Linked DNA regions of Drosophila melanogaster. Changing the gene in region 4 together with the main gene of any one other region gives a genetic interaction. Each region holds a gene or a part of one and is shown on either strand. Other genes may lie near its edges.

What was found.
Region 1: of hb (region 4) and pdm2, changing one suppresses a phenotype caused by changing the other (phenotypic suppression), as found in Drosophila melanogaster (one study listed by BioGRID).
Region 2: of hb (region 4) and ftz, changing one enhances a phenotype caused by changing the other (phenotypic enhancement), as found in Drosophila melanogaster (one study listed by BioGRID).
Region 3: of hb (region 4) and kni, changing one suppresses a phenotype caused by changing the other (phenotypic suppression), as found in Drosophila melanogaster (one study listed by BioGRID).

The regions. Positions count from the first base shown.
Region 1 is NT_033779.5:12,655,383-12,660,344, forward strand, and holds the start of pdm2 (POU domain protein 2), read left to right. Parts: upstream 1-1,782; 5' UTR 1,783-2,691; intron 2,692-4,869; 5' UTR 4,870-4,962. UniProt on the Drosophila melanogaster protein: DNA-binding regulatory protein implicated in early development. Involved in neuronal cell fate decision. May act as an octamer-dependent activator of transcription.
Region 2 is NT_033777.3:6,862,426-6,867,112, forward strand, and holds ftz (fushi tarazu), read left to right. Parts: upstream 1-1,898; 5' UTR 1,899-1,968; coding exon 1,969-2,716; intron 2,717-2,863; coding exon 2,864-3,348; 3' UTR 3,349-3,819; downstream 3,820-4,687. UniProt on the Drosophila melanogaster protein: May play a role in determining neuronal identity, may be directly involved in specifying identity of individual neurons. Required during embryogenesis for the process of body segmentation.
Region 3 is NT_037436.4:20,691,610-20,696,660, reverse strand, and holds kni (knirps), read left to right. Parts: upstream 1-2,104; 5' UTR 2,105-2,204; coding exon 2,205-2,219; intron 2,220-2,320; coding exon 2,321-2,398; intron 2,399-2,613; coding exon 2,614-3,825; 3' UTR 3,826-4,331; downstream 4,332-5,051. UniProt on the Drosophila melanogaster protein: Transcriptional repressor. Binds to multiple sites in the eve stripe 3 enhancer element. Plays an essential role in the segmentation process both by refining the expression patterns of gap genes and by establishing pair-rules stripes of gene expression.
Region 4 is NT_033777.3:8,691,794-8,700,154, reverse strand, and holds the start of hb (hunchback), read left to right. Parts: upstream 1-2,332; 5' UTR 2,333-2,829; intron 2,830-5,554; exon of another isoform or gene 5,555-5,699; intron 5,700-5,982; 5' UTR 5,983-6,000; coding exon 6,001-8,277; 3' UTR 8,278-8,361. UniProt on the Drosophila melanogaster protein: Gap class segmentation protein that controls development of head structures.

The DNA.
Region 1 (4,962 bases), on a different chromosome or scaffold from region 4:
ATACTCTTCAGAACCTACCCCCACAAACTAAACCATTTTCAGACGAAACCCATCGATTAGTTGGATTTAAGCATCTCGAAACAGCGACAACTTAAATGCTTACAAAACAAGAATAGTGGAAAAGAGGATGTAAAGGAGGCTGCAGAGGAACCAAAACACAAGCAGACGGGCAGACAAGTGAATAGAAGTGACAAACCAAAAATAAAAGGGCCAAGAAGGGAATTTCCTCGGCGCTAATCAATGAAATTAAAGCTGCGGCCAAGGCGAAATATCTTTAAGGACTCACTACTGAGGGGGGGCGGCATGGGGGAGTGGAACATATAGAATAGTGAGCGAGCCAAGCTACTGCCAACTTTAATGAACGGAAATTAGCAGTCAAAAGGTAAAAGCCCTCTCGCTCTCTTTTTTTCACCCGCAGCATCTGGACGCCGCGGCGAATTCGCGCACATGCACACACAATGGCCAACGGCGAAATGGAGAGAGCTCCCCACGAAGAGCGAGCATGCGCCGCAAGAGAGCGCCAAAGCTCCATGCCGATTGGCTGCCGGCTGCCCACTTTGGGTGAGTGTGTTTGTGCGGGAGAGAGCGCGCTTGTTGGATATATTTCCCCAAGATTTTCTACCTCTCCCTCCGCACTTTCTCTCTCTTGCGTTCTCTTTCTGTTCAGGCATAAACAAACCATTTTGAATAAAATCAACAGCAACAACAGCGGCAACAACTACGTTGTTGCAACAATGTGGATCCCAAGTTGCCGAGAAAAATCAACTGATTCTACACTTAGAAAAGTTTTATATATTGGTTATAATACAATTTCATTAAAAGCCTATTAACATTATAAATTTACTTATAATTGTAAAAGAAATGTATTTAAAATACGCTTAGAACCTTTATATATAAATGTATAAATTATAATATATTCTATTTAGAGTAACAATAAAAACCAAATTAAGTTATACCAAGACGTGTTTGTGAATATTTGTTAAGATAAAATATAGAATTTAAGGTTTATTTCTGTTAAATATTAAAATGGTACAATAGAAAATGACTGGAATATATATTATATAATTTTTGTAAGTGTATGGTTACTACAGTTGCTTGTGGTGCTTCTTCTTCCATTTATTCAGCTAGTACTGCTCTTCTTCTAGATGCTTTGGCCTGGTCAAGTTGCATTCAATTGCAGTTTTTCAGTTGCCACTCCGTTGGCCGATTGTCGGTTGTCGTCCTCGCGACTTTTCTTGTTTATTTTTTCAACTAGCTGTGTGTGCGTGACAGCAACAACAATAATCTGAGGACGCCTCTTGTAATTATTTTAATTTATGCGTTTATCGCTTTTTGCCTTTTGCCGCCGTTCAGCGGATTCTGTTGGCTATCTGTCTGCATTTGGTTCGTTTTTTGCCTTGACATTCGCATTTTGACAGCACGGCGAATAATTCTCGGTTCTGCCATCATTGCAATGTCAATTTTTTTCATTTTTCATTCGCTGATATTCCGACTTGTCCACGGGGCGTATGCGTAACGCGAGTTGTGTTGTGATTTCTGGCAAGTGCAATGCCGTCGGAACATTGATTTTGAAAGGAATTAAATCTGTTTTGCCCATAAAATCATCTGCTTTAGTATTATATGTTTTATTTTATAAAACTTATTATTTTTATAAAAGAAAGAAAACGGTTTGGTATATAAGCGGCCATAAAAAAATCAAAAAATCTTGTATCTTGTGCCGAATAAATAATGAATCATATGATGAGAAACAGTACTTGAATCAATAAGAATTTTAATATATTTTATTATATTTTGCAAACTGAATTACTTGTATACCCTTATTCGGTTACTCGTATGAGCCTGACTCCTCTTCTCCTTCTCAATTCCCTTCAAGAGGAAATTTTCATGCCGCTCTAAACTACAAATCAACTTAGGAGCCCCCATATTATTTCTTCCCTCAACGAACAGAAGCAGCGGCAGTCAATACATACATAATTCGGAATCCGATAAGAGCCACCCACCCATATATACATATATAGAACACTCACACACACATATGCAGTACTATTTTCCACCCACACAATACAAGCTTTTCATTTTAAAACCTCCTGTAAAAAAAAAGAAGCAAGAGAAAGAAAAACGAAGTCAAACGCCCCAAAACACCCACGCACCACCCCCTCCACCTGTTTTATGGCTCCCTTTCCCCACCCCCACAGACACACACACACACACAGAGGCACATCGCAAACAGACCAATACACTGGCACACTCACACTCACTCACTCTCTCCAACATCTTCTATAAAAAAAAAGTATTTTTTGTACTCGCTTGACATTTTGTGGATACGTCGGACGTCGTCGGAAGTCGTCGCGAACTTTGCTTCTTTTTGCTCTTTCTCTTTTCTTTAGTCTGCTTTTTTTTCACTTTTTACTTTTTGCCCATATCTCCTTGCGCGTTTTTTTAAGTCAGTCGTTTGTCGGAAGTCAATCAAAAAGCGTGTCTCGGAGAATTGTCCCAAAAGACAGAGATCACCTCACCTCACCTCGACGGCCCACAGAAAATGCAGAAAGGGCGTGAAGCTGTCGCCATTCTCGTTGGCAATTACAATTTATAAAAGTGTGGCAAAGTAAACAATTAAATTATAATTCGTGACAGCAGGCGAAAACCAGTAGAGGAAAAACCAGTAAGGAGGTGCGCCATCTTCCAGCCCAAGTGAGTTTAACTCTTTTTTTTCTTTTGTACCCACTGAGTGTGTCAAGGAGCTTGTCTTGTAACGCCCACACTCAATGCGATCGATGGATCAGCCAGATGGATGATACAGATGCCGCAAGAGAGAGAGAGAGGGCAGAACTGTTTCTTCTGGCCTGTCAGATTCCTAATGAGCTTTCCCAAGTGTCTGCGCGTATTTCAGCGTCCTTAATTGGCCATATGTGTTTGAGGGCCAACAAGTGTCCCGATATGGCTGACTATGGTAGTTGGACGGGCGAACTGAATCCATCATAGAGATCTTGGTCGGGCTTTAGCTAATCATAACAAAATTGTGACCATGTTCTGGTCAAATCTTTAACAATGGAAAATCTTAAGGTTAGATCAAATTAAGATGCAAAATGTATTAATAACAAGCAATTATCTTCAAAATGAGGCAATATATATATATATATATTGAATATAGTATTTGATTTAAAGGATAGTTTAATAACTTTTTCTAAATTTGTTCCATTCCATATATTTTTCATAAACCTTCTGTGATTTGTGTACCCTATCTTAGATGTGCCACATATATATTTTTATGGGTTTTTTACAATTCCACTTCTGGCAATGATTCGATCGATAATCACGACAAACAATTTCTCAACCGAAAGTCAGGCAAATCACATCATCGAACTAAGTTCCCTCGTATCTTTACAACCGAACCGTGTACACCCAATAGAAAATTATGAAAACACAAATTCCAAATTGAAGACAAACACAATGGCAATGTTCGGTATTATATGATCGGCGATACGTTTCCAATTGGAGTAAGCAATTGTGTTTAATTTTAAAACAAGATGAAGTTAAACAAAAATAGCGAAAGCCCCGATATTGTCGGCCCAATAAGGAATTACCGTGCCGATTGGGAATTATTGAAAGTAGCACCGAGGAATAAGTGACTGCATTTAGTCGGCGTTCGCTTTGATCATACCGGCAGATATATCGATTCCTGGCAATTGGTTGCTGACATGCAAAGAACATAATTTACCGACTGGCAAAATTGATAAACAATCTTCGTGTGGCACTTTGGTTGCGGCCAATTTGCCGTCGATACTGACAACTCAATTGATTTGTTTACAAGTGCCATTAATGTTAGTTGCCCCGACCCGCCTCTTCGTGGCTCATATGTACATAAACCCGTTTGGTAATGTATGTAAATAACCATTTCCATAAACGCACTTGCACTTTTCAGCACCGTATCTTATCTGGCCAAGTTGACTTGTTGTTCGGGGCATTTGATCGTTGCGCTTGTAGTTTAATTTCCCATTTCTATTTCCTTTGATTTCATCGCCTTTTGCCGTGATTTTTCGACACCCACCCACCCACTCCTTATCTCATTTGACTTCAATTTGTTTTCAATTTACAACAATTTCGTTTCAAACCACATTTGGTAAATGTGCCCATTTTCATTCTCCCATTTTTTGTTTGCATAATAATACAAAGTTTAGGTTTTAGTGCCTTTTATGGTGTCTACTGCTGTAAAGTTGTATACAACCACTTTTCACTTGTGGGAGCTGATTCGACAGGCCATGGGAAAATTTAGAGAAATGTTTGGACTGCTCAATAAACGAATTTAAAAGAGCAAACATTTAAACTATATAAATTGCGATATGTACTTTTATGACATGTTTACTTTCGAGTGGTATGGAATTTCTGTAATTATTTAACTGAATGATATAGTTTCTCACATATTAACATTTTCATTCAATGCTAGGTACAGTAAAACTTCTAATCAGTAACTTACTTTACATTTACCTTTTAGAAGAGAATATTAACTTTTAAACTTTTACCCTTATATATTTTTTTATCAAAATACAAACTTGTAATCGCAGAATGGGCTGACAATGCAATATACTCATGAGCCAGTTAATAAACTAAACTAATTAATCTCAGTTATAAGGTATACAAACATCCGTTCGATTTCAAACAAATCCACTGTTTCCACCTGTAACGTGAAAAGTCACGTGTACAGGAATGTGGATGGGTCAGTTATTTTAAGGGAAAAATCAATTACTTCCGCTATCGAGTCGTAAAGATCACAGCGCTCTATGTATTTAATAACAGCTTTTTAAAGTGCAGTTAACAGCAAATTAGGCTTTCAGCCGAAGAAGACACTTTTAATTATCAACCCATTTGCAGGCAGCAAAGGAGGCAGAAGGAGGAATACATATCGCCAGCGGTCCATGGGTCAATATCATAATCTGAGGCAGCAACCGGAGCGGCAAACAAGTC
Region 2 (4,687 bases), 1.8 Mb from region 4:
ATTCAAAGACCTAGTCAAAAGTAGTAGCCCTCGCCCTTATTTATTGCGTTAAAAAAGGATCCTAACAATATTTAAATAAAATGAGATGAAATTATTTTAGTAAATGATTCGGTATCGAAAGAATTTTATTTTTGGGGAGCTGTTTTTCCTTTCTTTGATTGATAGATATAAACATAAGTTATCGGATGGTTTTATATCCTACTCTACACCCTTATTGTTAAGTTTACTGCAAAACCAGAAAGGAGGCTCACATTCACTGGCAATATAGCAATCACAGGACATCGGAGAGATGCGAACTGCAGTCTCTTCTGTCAAACTGAAAAACGCCATAAATTTTGTGGAACAATGGAATCTGCCAGAGTATGCGGATGGGGTAAGGGTAGAATTCGCACATGCACACATATGTCAGGAGTATCGATATGTTAGGGGTGTTCAACGGGGGTGGCTAATAAAATTTATCCAGGCCGCGTAAGCCGATCAGAAAGTCATGTAAACACAAAAGTGGCTGAGAGATGATTGTTTTTTACCAGTCAATTTAGCTGAGCTGATTTCAGGTTATACGCGAACCTAAGATGGAAGTAGATTTTTAGATTACCAGAAATAACCTTCAGTTTCTAAAAGAATGAGAAATAGTAAATCGTGAAGCCTGTGGCATTCTTACCCCTTACTGAAATGAATGTAACAGGTAGAAGGCAGCAATTGCAGTGCTACAAAGTATATATATTCTTGATCCATATAAGTATAAGTATAAGAGCTATAATGTTATAATTAAACATGAAGATCCTACGCTGTGCAAGTTTTGTGCCACAAATTTAACTCAAGATTACCACTCACAAAGGATACATTACCATTTGGCCATTAAAAATTACAGCATCCATAGACAACCTACTTAAAATTTATAAAAACTTGAGGGTTATATCACAGAGTTACCGAAAAAAAGCGTAAAAGCTTTATATTCTCAACAATATTATGCTATTAAAATATTGCTGGTTTTCTGCTGTTATAGAATCATTTTTAAAAGTATAACGTAAAAAATAAAATAAAACTAGTATTCATTTGAAAAATCAGCGGGCATATAATTTATATCATATTTTTAAAATTTAGGCAAAGGATGTTTGCATAAAGTTTTTACTGTTTACTAGTCATTTTGGAAGTGCGTTTGTTGGTTTTTAGGCAAATACCGGGCACAGGAGTGAGTTTGGGAATCGGGAGTTGCGCACTTGCTTGGCCACGAGGGCAAACAAAAAGCGCAAACACGCGACCCTCGGCCACGCGTATTCCTGATCCCAGGGATCGGACGTAATGTTATCCTTTGGCCGCCCAGTGCCACGAAATAAATTCGGAGGGAAAGGGCATCGGGTTCCGGGAACAACTGGCAGCCAGTCTTCGGTGTTTTGCGCGCTGGCAAAAATCCAGAGAAATTTTTAGGGAACCATAAACGGGCCGGGGAAAAAGCCTCTGCCCCGAAGGAACGTTTTCAGCAACAGTTTACAGTTTTTATGTCTTTATGATTATTGCAATTAGAGGGAGATCGGCTGAGAGTCGCGCCCTCTCGCTCTGCGCACCTCATAGGTAGGCACCTCATGGCCGTAATTACTGCAGCACCGTCTCAAGGTCGCCGAGTAGGAGAAGCGCGCGGGCGGATAAATCGCGATGATAATGGGCGCGATGGGTAGGTAATAAGCCGCGCAGCAGGTAGGCACCGTACGGATAAAGTTGCCAGGACCTCGGATAACTTCCCCTCTCCGTGCCTGCAAGGACATTTCGCCGGAGGGGTGGCTGCGAACAGCAGGCGGCAAAGTGTCATGCGCAGGGATATTTATGCGCTATAACGGCGAGCGTGTGCCGAGGGCTCTCTGATTTTGCTATATATGCAGGATCTGCCGCAGGACCAGCTCATTCGCAAACTCACCAGCGTTGCGTGCACATCGCAGAGTTAGAGAAGAAATCTAGCAATACACATCCGATATGGCCACCACAAACAGCCAGAGCCACTACAGCTACGCCGACAACATGAACATGTACAACATGTATCACCCCCACAGCCTGCCGCCCACCTACTACGATAATTCAGGCAGCAATGCCTACTATCAGAACACCTCCAATTATCAGGGCTACTATCCCCAGGAGAGTTACTCGGAGAGCTGCTACTACTACAACAATCAGGAGCAGGTGACCACCCAGACTGTACCGCCCGTGCAACCCACCACCCCGCCGCCCAAGGCCACCAAGCGCAAGGCCGAAGATGATGCTGCTTCCATCATCGCCGCCGTGGAGGAGCGACCCAGCACACTGAGGGCTCTGCTCACCAATCCCGTGAAGAAGCTGAAGTACACCCCCGACTATTTCTACACAACCGTCGAGCAGGTGAAGAAGGCTCCCGCCGTAAGCACCAAGGTCACCGCCAGCCCCGCTCCCAGCTACGACCAAGAGTACGTGACTGTGCCCACGCCCAGCGCCTCCGAGGATGTCGACTACTTGGACGTCTACTCGCCCCAGTCGCAGACGCAGAAGCTGAAGAATGGCGACTTTGCCACCCCTCCGCCAACCACGCCCACCTCTCTGCCGCCCCTCGAAGGCATCAGCACGCCACCCCAATCGCCGGGGGAGAAATCCTCGTCAGCTGTCAGCCAGGAGATCAATCATCGAATTGTGACAGCCCCGAATGGAGCCGGCGATTTCAATTGGTCGCACATCGAGGAGACTTTGGCATCAGGTAGGCATCACACACGATTAACAACCCCTAAAAATACACTTTGAAAATATTGAAAATATGTTTTTGTATACATTTTTGATATTTTCAAACAATACGCAGTTATAAAACTCATTAGCTAACCCATTTTTTCTTTGCTTATGCTTACAGATTGCAAAGACTCGAAACGCACCCGTCAGACGTACACCCGCTACCAGACCCTGGAGCTCGAGAAGGAGTTCCACTTCAATAGATACATCACCCGGCGTCGTCGCATCGATATCGCCAATGCCCTGAGCCTGAGCGAAAGGCAGATCAAGATCTGGTTCCAAAACCGACGCATGAAGTCGAAGAAGGATCGCACGCTGGACAGCTCCCCGGAGCACTGTGGTGCCGGCTACACCGCGATGCTGCCGCCACTGGAGGCCACAAGCACCGCCACCACCGGGGCACCATCGGTGCCAGTGCCCATGTACCACCACCACCAAACCACCGCCGCCTACCCCGCTTACAGCCACAGTCACAGTCATGGTTATGGCCTGCTCAATGATTACCCTCAGCAGCAGACCCACCAGCAGTACGATGCCTACCCGCAGCAGTACCAACATCAGTGCAGCTACCAGCAACATCCACAGGACCTCTACCATCTGTCTTGAGGTCCGGCGATGCTCAGTTACTCTCTTCCCCAGAGCGGAACCGAAAGCCGTACCGCCACGAAACCGAAGCGCACTTCTCTCGACCATTTGTAGGTGACACGCAAATGACACAGCCGAGAACGAAGCTGCGACGCGATGAGTTGCACAGTAGAGGGCGCACTCCCTACGGTGCCCAGGACATTTTGGGCACAAGGACGAGTGCGCAAGTGCAGAAGGCAGAGGCAAAAGAGGCAGCGCAAACAGAAAAGGAGCCTTGCTGCGCGCGGAACCCAGTGGCTGGCCATGATGGGTTCTCAGCGATCGATTAGCTGCGGCCAAACACAAGCCCAAAACACTCAGCTGGGAGTGATAATGGCCAAGAGACTTGGAGACTGACACACATGTTTTTGTACATATAGTAGTTAAGATATTCCTATCATAGAATTCTATTTATTTAAATATACGAGTAAAGTAAATCGATCGAATTTAAACAAATCAAGTTGAACATTCATTTGGCAATTTGTGAAGAAGAGTCTTGGGCATGCTGCAATTTGACTGCTTTAAAATTTTAAATTTATAGGCCGTGGGCCGCGTATGTGGAATACATTTCATATGTATATGTGTTGAAATAAAATTAAATGCCTTTCAATGATAACTACTCAATAAATTCTTAAAATAGTTTGGATCAACGTATGGTATTTGTCTAACTACTTTCACCGAAAACATATCACAAGGCAAAGTTTACCTTCAGCCTATTTTCATACCTTATATATGCATATAATACATATATATGATAAAAATGGAGTTTAGGAGTTAAGGAGTTTAAATTATTTAAGTATAAGCCTAATATTTAATTGTTCGTTGAGAAGCTTAAGAGATCTCTTGGTTTACTTTCTGATGAATTGCACATGGTTGAAGCATTACTTTCGAACTTATACGAAACGCAAACGATTTAATGTTGAGCACGAATCGTACAAATTCGAGCAGCTGCATTTTGTCGCTTCAGTCCCCCTCATCCCTGACCCATTGCTATCTCCCGGATTTTCTATTAAATGCACTCTTTTCGCCAGAGAAAATGTCACATTTTGGTCTGGCTTCGGGGCATATCTACCACCGCATCCCTGCTCCCTTCCTCCCTCCGCCGCTGCACGTTCCTCTATTGAAGTGAGACATTGATTGGTAATTTTTCATTGCACATCCGTGACAGTTATGGGTAACGCAACGCAAAAGGAAAAGCCCGGTGCGGAATCGGATTCGGAATCAGAATCAATATCAAAGGCAAAGGGGATCCATGTGCAGTCGAATATATCCCGGCACCATTTATCCGACTCATTAGACAAAAGTGGTCGGTGGGTGAGTT
Region 3 (5,051 bases), on a different chromosome or scaffold from region 4:
GCTCCTTCTTTCTTTTTGGCTTTGAGCAAACAACAATAAATATTCATAAAAAGAGTTAAGTGCCGCCATAAGGCTCTTTGTTTACACAAAGGAGAAATTATGTTGGAAGTTGACTTTTAAAAGGGTTACAATTAAATTCGATTGATATTTGTATTTTATTGAGTATAATGATGGTGAAGGAGAGGATAAGAAAGTTTTATAATATTTAAGAATAATATAATTTCATGATTTATTTGCGAAATATTACTCTACTAAAAGTGTAATATTAATAAAATTATTAAAATAATTATAATTATATTCTATTCATATTGAACTTGTATGGTTTAAACCTATTTTTGTATGCTATTTTAGAACCAGCTTGCAAATCAACTACTTTAATATGAATCATTCTGAATCCGGGTAATAGCCCGTCTAAATAGTATTTTTTATAACTTTTCGGACGCAATTACATACTCAATAATACTCAACTATCGTTTTTTTGCTATGAATCAATGCAGATCTCTTATTGATTAACTTCTAATTAAAGCGTTTCAATTTATTGCCAAGTCGCGGTTATGCAAATTTTAACACATTTCATGAAATCTTGAGAATCAGTTTGTGAATCACACAGAAAGTGGGAATATTTCCCGCGGAAAAAGGTTTTGAAAATCAAACTAGGTGTTAGGCATACAGGCAACTCTAAATGTACCCAAAAACCGGCGGACTTTGAAAAGAAAACCCCAAGCGAATTGGCCTCCAACCATTTCGATTTCGAGCAGCCAAAACGGCTCCGCCCATGCCAAAAAAATGAGCAGCTGTTAAAAATGAAGTCAATAGCTTAGTCAATGTGGTGTGTGTGTGTGTGTGTGGTGTTCGAGTGAGTGAGAAATCCAGCCGCCCTTAGCACGCGAGTATCTTTAATAAATAAACGAATAACGAATAATATCAGGGCCATGCAAATAGCCTGATTACAGGGAACTCAAAATCGAGAGAGAGAGAGAGACTGAGCGTGAGATCTGAATGAGTGAGTGAGTGTTTTCTATTCATTCAACAACAGAGCGTTAACATTCTGCTAACATTTCGCTCGAGTGGGGTTCGAACTCAATGCGCATGTGTGCGTGCTCGATCGCTCTCTCACTCGATCCGAGTCTTAAAGGTGGTGGTTTCAGCCGTGATTTATCAGAGAGCTGGGGCTGAAAACTGGTAAGTTTGCTTTGGTGTGAGTGCGAGTACATAAGCCAAAGAGTTCGGCCAGTAGGCGAAACACAGAAACGCTTCTTGCCAGTCGAACCTCTCAGCCAGAAATCAGTCGTCAGCTAGTAGCCGAAGTGTCAGTTACACACATCGAGGATTCCCAAACCGCGTTGTTTCGGCGATCAAAAACCATACATCACATCAAATCGTATCCAAAATTATAATCAAAGTGTTGAAAACCTGAATCACTCAGACTGATCGAAAAGTGCTTGCAAACCGAAAACAAAACAAAAAAAAAAAAAATAACAGACACAAACTGCCAAAGTGAGAAAACGTGCAGCAACGATCGCGAATCGCTGCAATTAAAAAGTCGTCATAAACCTAGTGCCCATCCAACAAAAAAAAGCAAAAAGGTAAGTTCTGAGCGAGGGAGACAACATGAGATCAAAGTCAATTCACGGTTCTTGTTTTTGGGTCGCGGCCGTCGGCAAATTTTACGATCCCTTGTGCACTACTTTTATTTTTTACTGTTTCACGCGAAAAACTAACGGCCACATTTCCATCTTTTCCTTATTTTTTTGCGTCCCGAGGCAGCGGGAAAAAAATCACAATTTTCATAAGCCGAATTTTCTATTTTTTGTTTGACTCGGGAAAAATCGGCGTGAGTTTTTATGGCCGAACGTCAAGGTCTGGACTGCTGCTGCATTTTTTTAGGGAACACTATTTTCGCAGCACTCGTAATGACTTCGAATAAAAAAGAAAATCTACCTGAGTTTTATGACTGGACAGCGCGAAAAAAATGAAAATGAACGCATAGGGTTGCATAATCCGGCAGCTTAAGTTTTTTGGCCTGTTGTGATCATAAAAAACGCCCATCCTGTCTAGTTTTTCCCAGTTTCCTATATATATCCTGGCCCGCCTAGAGCTCAGCATCAGTTGCTCAGCAGCATTCCAAGCGAACAGATCATACAGCAGATCCTCACAGCGATCGTGAGAAAAGCATTCAAAATTCCAACAAATATCATTCCAAAATGGTGTTCAACTTGGTTAGTGTCCAGAGCCGTTCGCCTACTTGTGGATTACACATATACCTCTCGACCAGTGGATTAAACCCTTACTAACGCGGGATTTCTTTACAATCTTCCAGATGAACCAGACATGCAAAGTGTGCGGTGAGCCGGCGGCGGGCTTCCATTTTGGCGCCTTCACCTGCGAGGGCTGCAAGGTAAGTTGTGTCTCAAGAAATCCATTGACAAATAAATTAGCAGAACGTAACCCCCCAAGGGGTTAGTTTTAGAAATGTTCGAGGAACAGGCCATCGGCGATTCAAATCGTTGTACCATTGGCCTTAAGTTCTTGAATGAATTTCTGCTCTTCTTTTGCTAATGAGTTGCATACCACATAACTAAGCCACATTCGTCCTTCCCTTCGCCATTGCAGTCCTTCTTTGGCCGCTCTTACAACAACATCAGCACCATCAGCGAGTGCAAGAACGAGGGCAAGTGCATCATCGACAAGAAGAACCGCACCACCTGCAAGGCGTGCCGCTTGAGGAAGTGCTACAACGTGGGCATGTCGAAGGGGGGATCCCGCTACGGACGTCGCTCCAACTGGTTCAAGATCCATTGTCTGCTGCAGGAGCACGAACAGGCCGCCGCAGCGGCGGGCAAGGCGCCTCCATTAGCGGGTGGCGTATCGGTGGGTGGTGCCCCGTCGGCCTCTTCCCCGGTGGGCTCGCCACACACTCCCGGATTTGGGGACATGGCCGCCCATTTGCACCACCATCATCAGCAGCAGCAGCAGCAGCAGGTGCCGCGTCATCCACATATGCCTCTGCTGGGCTATCCCAGCTATCTGTCCGACCCATCCGCCGCCCTGCCCTTCTTCAGCATGATGGGCGGTGTACCGCACCAGTCGCCCTTCCAGCTGCCCCCACACCTCCTCTTCCCAGGCTACCATGCAAGTGCTGCCGCTGCAGCGGCTTCTGCTGCCGATGCCGCTTACCGGCAGGAGATGTACAAGCACCGCCAGAGCGTGGATTCCGTTGAGTCGCAGAACCGCTTTAGTCCCGCCAGCCAGCCACCAGTGGTGCAGCCCACCTCCTCGGCCCGCCAGTCGCCCATCGATGTCTGCCTGGAGGAGGATGTTCACTCCGTGCACAGCCATCAGTCGTCCGCAAGCCTCCTGCATCCCATTGCCATCCGAGCCACGCCAACCACTCCGACTAGCAGCAGCCCGCTGAGTTTTGCGGCCAAGATGCAGAGCTTGTCGCCCGTTTCGGTTTGCTCCATTGGCGGCGAAACCACCAGCGTTGTACCAGTGCATCCTCCCACCGTTTCCGCTCAAGAAGGACCCATGGATCTGAGCATGAAGACCTCGCGGAGCTCCGTGCACAGCTTCAACGACAGCGGCTCCGAGGATCAAGAAGTGGAGGTGGCTCCGCGCCGGAAGTTCTACCAACTGGAGGCCGAGTGCCTGACCACCAGCAGCAGCAGTTCCTCCCACTCCGCCGCCCACTCACCGAACACCACCACCGCCCATGCGGAAGTCAAGCGGCAGAAGCTAGGTGGTGCAGAGGCCACCCACTTCGGTGGCTTCGCGGTGGCCCACAATGCGGCTAGTGCCATGAGGGGAATATTCGTGTGTGTCTAAGTACACGGCGAAAAAACCAAGTGGGAGGAGTCGCCCCAAAAACCCTCGTTGTTTATTTTTTGTTACTTAAAGAAAATGTAAATTTATTCGTGTGCTCGCTCACACTTAGGGAAGTGGAAAGAGATAGGGACAGACAGGTTTTGCTGGAAAGAGACAGCCTGACCAGGTAGTTGCATTGCACTCGCACACATACACCTATATACCACCACACACACACTCACACTCACCTATTGAGCTCGGATCCAAAAATTATTTTTTATGAAAACGTTAAAATTGTAAATATATCTTTGAGCTTGTTTGCAATTGTATTTTAAAGTTAGCCGGCGGAAGAGCCGTAGAAGTAGTAATCATTCCCACCCTCAAATGCTATTGTACATACAAATTGTTAAGTCTAAGAATGATCTTTATTGTCTCTAAGTATTTTATTCTATTATAGTCCTAGTTATGGTATGTCTAAAGATTGGCATTTAGTTTTATACAAAGAAAAATAAAAACTATTAAAAATTAAACTTTTGTCGTTTCCAATGCTTTTCGGTGTATTTCAGAATACACAAATTCATATTTGAAGTTTTTGCTTATGGATAATTGAACTAACTTATTTACAATGTCGTCTTGAAGCTCATTAATTCCACGGCACGTTTACTTCGGTGTTGCTTTTATTGATTTAATTTTAGTTGTGACATCATAGAAAAGTGTATTTAATTACAAAACAAACACTTTAAGAAAATTATTTAAAAATACTCATACAACGTATTCGTTGTACCTTAAAGTTAACGAACTCTTCTGATTTGTTTAAGCACATTATTATGGACTATATGTCTGGTGCAAACTATCTTTCGGATGTATCTGCTGGATGTATCAACGAAGTTTGTCGGCTACCGCACATTCCTATAGGATCAAAGCCAATAAATTATTTACGTATTCAGCTACCGCTCTTGTTTCAAAATCAGTTCTGTTCAAACATGCGAGCATATATCCATATACATATATCTGATCGGCGGTGTCTTTGGCTCGATGTTCGTTAACCACGGGCCAAATGGGCGTGGCCTGTCAATGGCAACACCAAAAAGAGACGGAAAACAAATGCTTTGGCATAAATTCAATCAACATTCGGTTGCAAGTCGATCGGCGATGGCCGATAATAAAACCGATATAGCAGCCGTTAAGTGCTTTGCTGTGCCTGCCCATTGCACTCGCGATTGCTGTAAGGCAGTTGTGTAGTAAAT
Region 4 (8,361 bases):
GTAATTGTGTGGCGAAACCAATTTGCACTTAAGATCAAAGAGCCAAATCGCCGTACAATAACCACACAAACCAAAACAGCCAAAAAAGAGAATCCCCTTCAGAAGGAAAGAAAAAACCTGAAGTAAAATGGCAAATCATCCTTGGCATGAAATCAGCTTACGAACTCAAGGTGATATCTCAACAGGCCGCAGGACAAAGGTCAGCAGAAGAGTGCGCCAAATCAAAACACAAAAAAAAGTGAAATCCTAATGAGATACTCCCTCCAGGGGCGAATCGGTCGACCACAAAATCCCAAGCGCTTGGCTGCACATCTTACAGATACATTTGCATATCATTTGGGAGATGCGAAGATCATGAGATAAAGATGTGCGGATCCGCCCTGTTGATCTGCCCAATCTTCCCCTCGAAGGAACTTCTGTTGAGACAGCCGCAGGCCAAAGGTTAAGGATAAGGATCATTTGCATGCGTGGCATGGACTTTCGGCAATTAGACGATCATGATCATCAGCATGTTTGTGTTTGTCCCGATCACCGGATAGGTATATCGCAGCTCATCAATTAAAAGGTCAAGCGTGACGGTCCTTGGGACTATTTGTTATGTCCTTAACTTCAACTTTACATAACTTTCCAAACGTAACTGGGTAGGATCCACACAGCACCCGCCCGCCTAAGCAACGCTAATCGGGCTGATCAGCGAACGCTAATCGCTCGGGACTAACTGGATCCTCCGGATCAGCGGCGCTGATCCTGCGTGATCCTGCGTACTGCGTAATGTTGGATTATGTCCTGTGCAGAAGTACGGCCAACTTTTAAATCGCTTTTAAATCCACATCACTCTAGTTCCAGTCGCACTTCTTCGGATGCGCGGATTAATGAACTGGGCGGGCCGATCAGGTAGCTTTGCGTCCTTTAATCCTTTCTTCGCTAAGTCCGGTTGCAGTTCGTATTCGTAATCCGGTTTGCCATGTCAACGTCAATGGCAGGTCTACCTCCGGTACTACCTGTTCCCGAGACGTCCTTTTGACACATATATTCCTCTGGATATGTGAGAGCAACTTGTATAATTTGCATTCCGGCGGCGATTTGTTTGCTCTGTTGTTTTGTAAATATTGCTTTTACATTTTCCCCACCCCCTCTGCCAACGCCCTAATTTCTCCCCGTTCCACTTTAGTTTTAGCCAAAATATTCGACATAAACAGGAGATTTTAGCCCAAATATTCCACATAAACAGGAGATTGAATAAAATAGCTGGAGGCACATTAATTCCGAACTTAATTATGAATTTGCATGTATGTTTTCTTTAGAAAAACTCTGATCCATACAAATAATAAGTTATCCTTTTGTATTGTATAGAGAAAAAAAGGTTTTTACCAATGAACTATGAATAATGAATAATAATAATAGTTTTTTTTTTTAGTCCAAAATTTGTCATTAAACCTAGTTAGAACAATCGCTCCTAATTTATCATTCTAAAAGCGAACATTCCGCTTGGGAAAAAAATTGGTCTAAACCGAATGATACTATTAATGATATGCATTTATTGCTAACCATAATCCTTGTCAAGCTAACAATGATACATTTTCCGAAATTAGCTTAAAAAGGTGGAATACACCCAATATGCACAAACTACCTTAAGGAGATTTGGAATTTCGAATGCTAATTGTGGCAAAGCTTTGCCCAAATTAAGTTAACACGCACAGCAACAGGAAAATGTGTTAAAGCAACAAGGAATCTCCTCGGCCCAAACTTCCATCGTCCCAATTGCAGTTGGCTAAGTTGTTAATGTGTCTGGGCTTAAAGTTGCCCAAAAAACAATTGGCGAAGGCCCCCCATCTTCCTCCATTTCCGCTCTCTCACTTTTGGGCCAGAAATCAATAATCAATAGTGAAGCGGAGATGCCAAAAAACGGCAAAGAGCCAAAAAGGCAGCTGCATTCGGCCAAAATGCAGCGCCAGAAAATGCAAAAGGATAAAATGAGCGAGTCAGAGCGAGAGAGTGGGTGAGTGAGTGAAAGAGCGAACGCCACGAAGGGGATGCTGTTTAGTTATTGCTTTTGGGGATGGGGAAAGTCACTCAGATTTACAGCTAGCATCCGTATCCGTTTTGAGTGAGTTTCGTCGTTACGTTGTTGATGCTCTCCGGCTGCTCTCTCATTTCGATTTCTGCTTCTCCGTGTAACGGCTCTCGTGCGCCTTTGTGTTGTTGCACTTCTGGCATTTGTTTTTGCTTTGCAATTGAGATTTTAGATTTGAGTTCTTTTTTGGCGAGTGCACTGTTGTGAGGAGCAGTGAGGAGATTTTCAGCTATTAGAAGAGCCCGCTGAGCGTGAGTTTGGTCAGTTGTGCTCCGAGTCCCGAAAACGAAAGTCGCCAGCATTGACAGGCAGCCACTGAAATACAAAAATAACCAAACATCCAAAGGACGAAACGTAACTGCTATCAAAACAAATATTGCCATTAAATACAATTAAACTTCGTGCTTGTGCTAAAAGATAACCAATTGCAAAAAGACTTTTGTCCCGAAAACTTATTTTTTGGCAAAGACCACATCCCGCACATGCGCGAATTCCGCGAAAAAGAAAGCACAAAAGCAAGCTAAAAAGCGAGGCCCAAAAAATAGACAAAAACGAAGAGCAAGGAGCCCCCACATCGCCGCTCCCCCTCGCACGCACTGTGCGTGTTGGTCTAACGGTAACCGTGCCGCGGTCAAGCGAGAGAGTGGGAAAGAGAGAGTCCGCGAGCGAAAAGCGAAAACTTACGTGCTCCTGCTCCTGCTCCCGGTTCCCGTTTCCAAATTCTCCCGCAGAATTGCACTTGGACTGTCCGCAAGGTAAGTAACTGGGCGTACCATCCAATATCCTAGTTATACACTGCATTCGACCTCCAATAAATCGTAAAAAACACATGGAGGTAGAAATTCGCAAAAGCTTTCCGCGGATAAACAAATAAACAAGAATTACAAATCGCTTTTGCGGGAGCAAATGCCAAAATGTTGGGGTATCCAGAATATACACAGTTTTTGTGAGGATTTACATACGCCCTGTAAATTTTAATTTAGTTCTCAATTGATACGAAATCTGTTTTTTTTTATAGAATATATTCGATATATAGTTGTTTAATTATAATTCATCATGTGATATACTTTCAAAAGAAACAGATTTAAATAGTTCGTTTATATGCTATTATGCACTATGCTTAATGTATTTTACTTTATTAATTCATGCTAATCTGATGACTGATAACCAATTTGCTTATTCTATGTCATAATCACCTTTAATCCCAAGTACTCAACTTTCTTCTAGTTCTGCACATTTTCTTGTTCTCTTCTTGTTGTTTGTAATCGAGTGCTTCTTTTTCTGTCTAACCTTAGGAACACAAACAAGAGATCTCACACACATGCACACACACAACCACACAGAGTGGTAAATCATTGCTAAAAATGCAAATGGCAAAAATTCTAAAACAATATTTTAAAATCTGTCTGGCTTTTGGCCGATCTTCGGGTGAACTTGTTTTTTGCCCGCTCTGTCTGTTTTTGCCTAGAACTGCAGCGTATATCCAACCCCCAACCGACCCCCCCCCCTCCTCATTTGCTCCTCCTAAGCAACGCCCCTGGCCACGCCCCCCTCTACGCCTGACAGCTAATTTTATTTGTTTACATGTCGACTTTCATGTTGTTTTTTTTTCGCCTTCCTGCCCCCCAAATAACCCCTTCAATTTTTAGCATTTCTTTTCGCTCTTCTTTCGGCAAATGCATTTTCGACTTTTCTTTTTTAATAATTTAAATTTAGACATCGAACTATAATTCAAAGTCAACGTGGCAATTTTTTAATGGCAAATAGTTCGGCACTTGCCAAAATGCATTTCAAATATAATGAATACACCTATGTGACGCTCGCAGGCTTTGTTTTTTTTTTTTGTTTAGGATGATGATGGGAATCATTATTGCACGATCTTTTGCAGAATTGATTGTCATCCGACAGTTTTAATGTTTGCCGACAAAAAGAACTGAGCGCATTTCAAACAAATGGGGCTTTGTTAGGCGCATAAAAATAAATATGCACATATTATACGGGATATATTTATAAACCGCAAATGACATTGAATCACTTCAGTCAGCAGCAGCAGTGCAGTTTTCCCTAAACGAATGCAGCTCCAAAAAACAACAAGTTGTTCTAAGCCAACAACATAACGGTTGCAACTACACATATGTATACGCATACATACATATATTTTATATACGCCTGCAAACAAGCAGGCATATCCTGCTCTTGGCTTGCTTTTTGTACGGATTTTTCAACAAAAACATTTTTTGTGTGGCGCATTTTCTGCGTTTTCGAATTTTTCCATTTTTGCCATTTTCATGATATTTTTAGAGGGTTAAAAAGGGGGCGGTGTTGGGGTGGGGGGGGAGGCACCAAAAACGACTAGCACATGTTTAGTTTACTTTTGCAGTTTCGGTTGCCTGGCTGCACTCGTTGTGGCCACACCACGCCACTAACCCCCACTGCATGGTCCCCATGCCCCCACCCCTGCCCCCTTGGCCCATGCCCCTGCCCGGCGTAATATTAATTTTACACTTGGCCTTTAGTTTGGCTTTGTTGCTGTTGTTGGGCATGGCACAAAAAAGCCCAGACGAAAGGCGAAAATTCTCTTTGTTTCATAGTGCGCACACACACTAACACACTTGCCGAGCAATTAATTTTGGCTTTCTTTAAAAATATCCACAAAAGCGAATTTAAATAAATATGCTAAGCTTCATTTTGTGTGGTGCACTTTCTGTTTCCTGAACCATCAATTATGCCTAAGTATTGTAGATATTTTAGCTGCCAGATAGCACAGCACCATCCTCCCATAATAATATTCCGTAAATGCCCCTTTTTCCCGTTTTGCGTTTTTAATAATATTTACTTGAAAGCACAAACAATTAGCCAAAAATGCAGCAACTGCACAATTTTTCAGTGTGAAATTGGAAATGGAAAAAATATAGGCAACAAGCAATTTTAATGCGAGAATTATTAGAAAAACTACGCAAATCAAAGTGAAATGTCTGGCGGAAAATTGTTGTCAGGAAAATGTTTTTCAAATGGGTGTGTAATAATTATACTGCACATATTATGCATATAGTTTAGTTGGTCCTTAGAGTTTTCCCGCAGGTGTAAGCAGTTCTGATCCGTTAATTTAGTTAAGTCCCGCAATCCTTTTTACTTTTTATTATTAACTACGAAACTGCCCACGCTAGCTGCCTACTCCTGCTGTCGACTCCTGACCAACGTAATCCCCATAGAAAACCGGTGGAAAATTCGCAGCTCGCTGCTAAGCTGGCCATCCGCTAAGCTCCCGGATCATCCAAATCCAAGTGCGCATAATTTTTTGTTTCTGCTCTAATCCAGAATGGATCAAGAGCGCAATCCTCAATCCGCGATCCGTGATCCTCGATTCCCGACCGATCCGCGACCTGTACCTGACTTCCCGTCACCTCTGCCCATCTAATCCCTTGACGCGTGCATCCGTCTACCTGAGCGATATATAAACTAATGCCTGTTGCAATTGTTCAGTCAGTCACGAGTTTGTTACCACTGCGACAACACAACAGAAGCAGCACCAATAATATACTTGCAAATCCTTACGAAAATCCCGACAAATTTGGAATATACTTCGATACAATCGCAATCATACGCACTGAGCGGCCACGAAACGGTAGGATATTGTTAGCCATTACCAAGTGTCTCCATTTTGAACACAAAATCACTCAAATCGCCTTCAGGGGGTGGGTGCCGCCCAGCCACCCCTGACGTATTTTTTGTTAGGGGTGGTGCCGCAAGCACACCAAAAAAAGAGAAAAAAAAAATAAAAGCGAGGAAAAATAAAATGAAAAACAAGCGGAAAAAAAGAGGAAAAAACTCGACGCAGGCGCAGTGCATGAATGAATAAATGAATATGCCCACTAACCCCACTCTCTCTGTTTTCTTATCCATTACAGCCGTCTAGAGCCGCCAAGATGCAGAACTGGGAGACGACAGCCACGACCAACTACGAGCAGCACAACGCCTGGTACAACAGCATGTTCGCGGCAAATATCAAACAGGAGCCAGGTCATCATCTCGACGGGAATAGCGTGGCCAGCAGTCCGCGCCAATCGCCCATTCCCTCGACCAATCACCTGGAACAGTTCCTCAAGCAGCAGCAGCAGCAGCTTCAGCAGCAACCCATGGATACCCTGTGCGCCATGACCCCATCACCCAGCCAAAACGATCAAAACAGCCTGCAGCATTACGATGCTAACTTGCAGCAACAGTTGCTGCAGCAACAGCAGTACCAGCAGCATTTCCAGGCAGCCCAGCAGCAACATCATCACCATCACCATCTGATGGGTGGATTCAATCCGCTGACGCCACCTGGTCTGCCCAATCCCATGCAGCACTTCTATGGCGGCAATCTGCGACCCAGTCCGCAGCCCACGCCCACATCTGCCTCCACAATTGCGCCCGTTGCAGTTGCCACTGGCAGCAGCGAGAAGTTGCAGGCACTAACACCACCCATGGATGTCACACCGCCTAAGTCGCCGGCCAAGTCGAGTCAGTCGAATATTGAGCCGGAGAAGGAGCACGATCAGATGTCGAACTCCAGCGAGGACATGAAGTACATGGCCGAGTCCGAGGACGATGATACCAACATCCGGATGCCCATCTACAATTCGCACGGCAAGATGAAGAACTACAAGTGCAAGACCTGCGGCGTGGTGGCCATCACCAAGGTGGACTTCTGGGCGCACACCCGCACCCACATGAAACCAGACAAGATCCTGCAGTGCCCGAAGTGCCCGTTCGTCACCGAGTTCAAGCACCACTTGGAGTACCATATCCGGAAGCACAAGAACCAAAAGCCCTTCCAGTGCGACAAATGCAGCTACACGTGTGTCAACAAATCCATGCTAAACTCGCACCGCAAGTCGCACAGTTCTGTGTATCAGTACCGTTGTGCGGATTGTGATTACGCCACCAAGTATTGCCACAGCTTCAAGCTGCATCTGCGCAAGTATGGTCACAAGCCCGGCATGGTTTTGGACGAGGATGGCACCCCGAATCCCTCGTTGGTCATCGATGTTTACGGCACGCGTCGTGGTCCGAAGAGCAAGAATGGTGGACCGATTGCCAGTGGAGGAAGTGGCAGCGGCAGCCGGAAGTCAAATGTTGCAGCTGTCGCTCCGCAGCAACAGCAATCTCAGCCAGCTCAGCCAGTCGCCACATCTCAGCTGAGTGCCGCCCTGCAAGGATTCCCTCTGGTTCAAGGCAACTCCGCTCCTCCGGCGGCATCTCCAGTGCTCCCGCTGCCCGCCTCTCCTGCCAAGAGTGTGGCCAGTGTGGAACAGACGCCCAGCTTGCCCAGTCCAGCCAATCTTCTGCCTCCTCTGGCCAGCCTTCTGCAGCAGAACCGCAACATGGCCTTCTTCCCCTACTGGAACCTCAATCTCCAGATGCTGGCCGCCCAACAACAGGCCGCTGTCTTGGCCCAATTGTCGCCAAGAATGCGAGAGCAACTGCAGCAACAGAACCAGCAGCAGAGCGACAATGAGGAGGAGGAGCAGGACGATGAGTACGAGCGTAAGTCAGTGGACTCTGCCATGGATCTGTCCCAAGGAACGCCAGTGAAGGAGGATGAGCAGCAGCAACAACCGCAGCAGCCGCTGGCCATGAATCTCAAGGTGGAGGAGGAGGCCACGCCTCTGATGAGCAGCTCGAATGCCTCGAGACGCAAGGGACGCGTCCTCAAGCTGGACACCCTGTTACAACTGCGATCGGAGGCCATGACATCTCCCGAGCAACTGAAAGTACCCAGCACACCCATGCCAACTGCATCCTCGCCCATTGCCGGACGCAAACCCATGCCCGAGGAGCACTGCTCGGGCACCAGTTCGGCAGATGAGTCGATGGAGACGGCCCATGTGCCGCAGGCCAATACCAGTGCCAGTTCGACGGCGTCCAGCTCGGGGAACAGCTCCAATGCCAGCAGCAATAGCAACGGCAACAGCAGCAGCAATTCCAGCAGCAATGGAACCACCTCAGCGGTTGCAGCTCCTCCATCCGGAACTCCGGCGGCGGCGGGTGCCATCTACGAGTGCAAGTACTGTGATATCTTCTTCAAGGACGCCGTGCTCTACACCATTCACATGGGCTACCACAGCTGCGACGATGTGTTCAAGTGCAACATGTGCGGCGAGAAGTGCGACGGACCCGTCGGCCTCTTCGTTCACATGGCCAGGAATGCTCACTCCTAAGTTCCCCATCACCATCACCTTGTTATTATTATTTATCACTATTATCATATAATCGTTGTCCAGAATTGTATATATTCGTAGCAT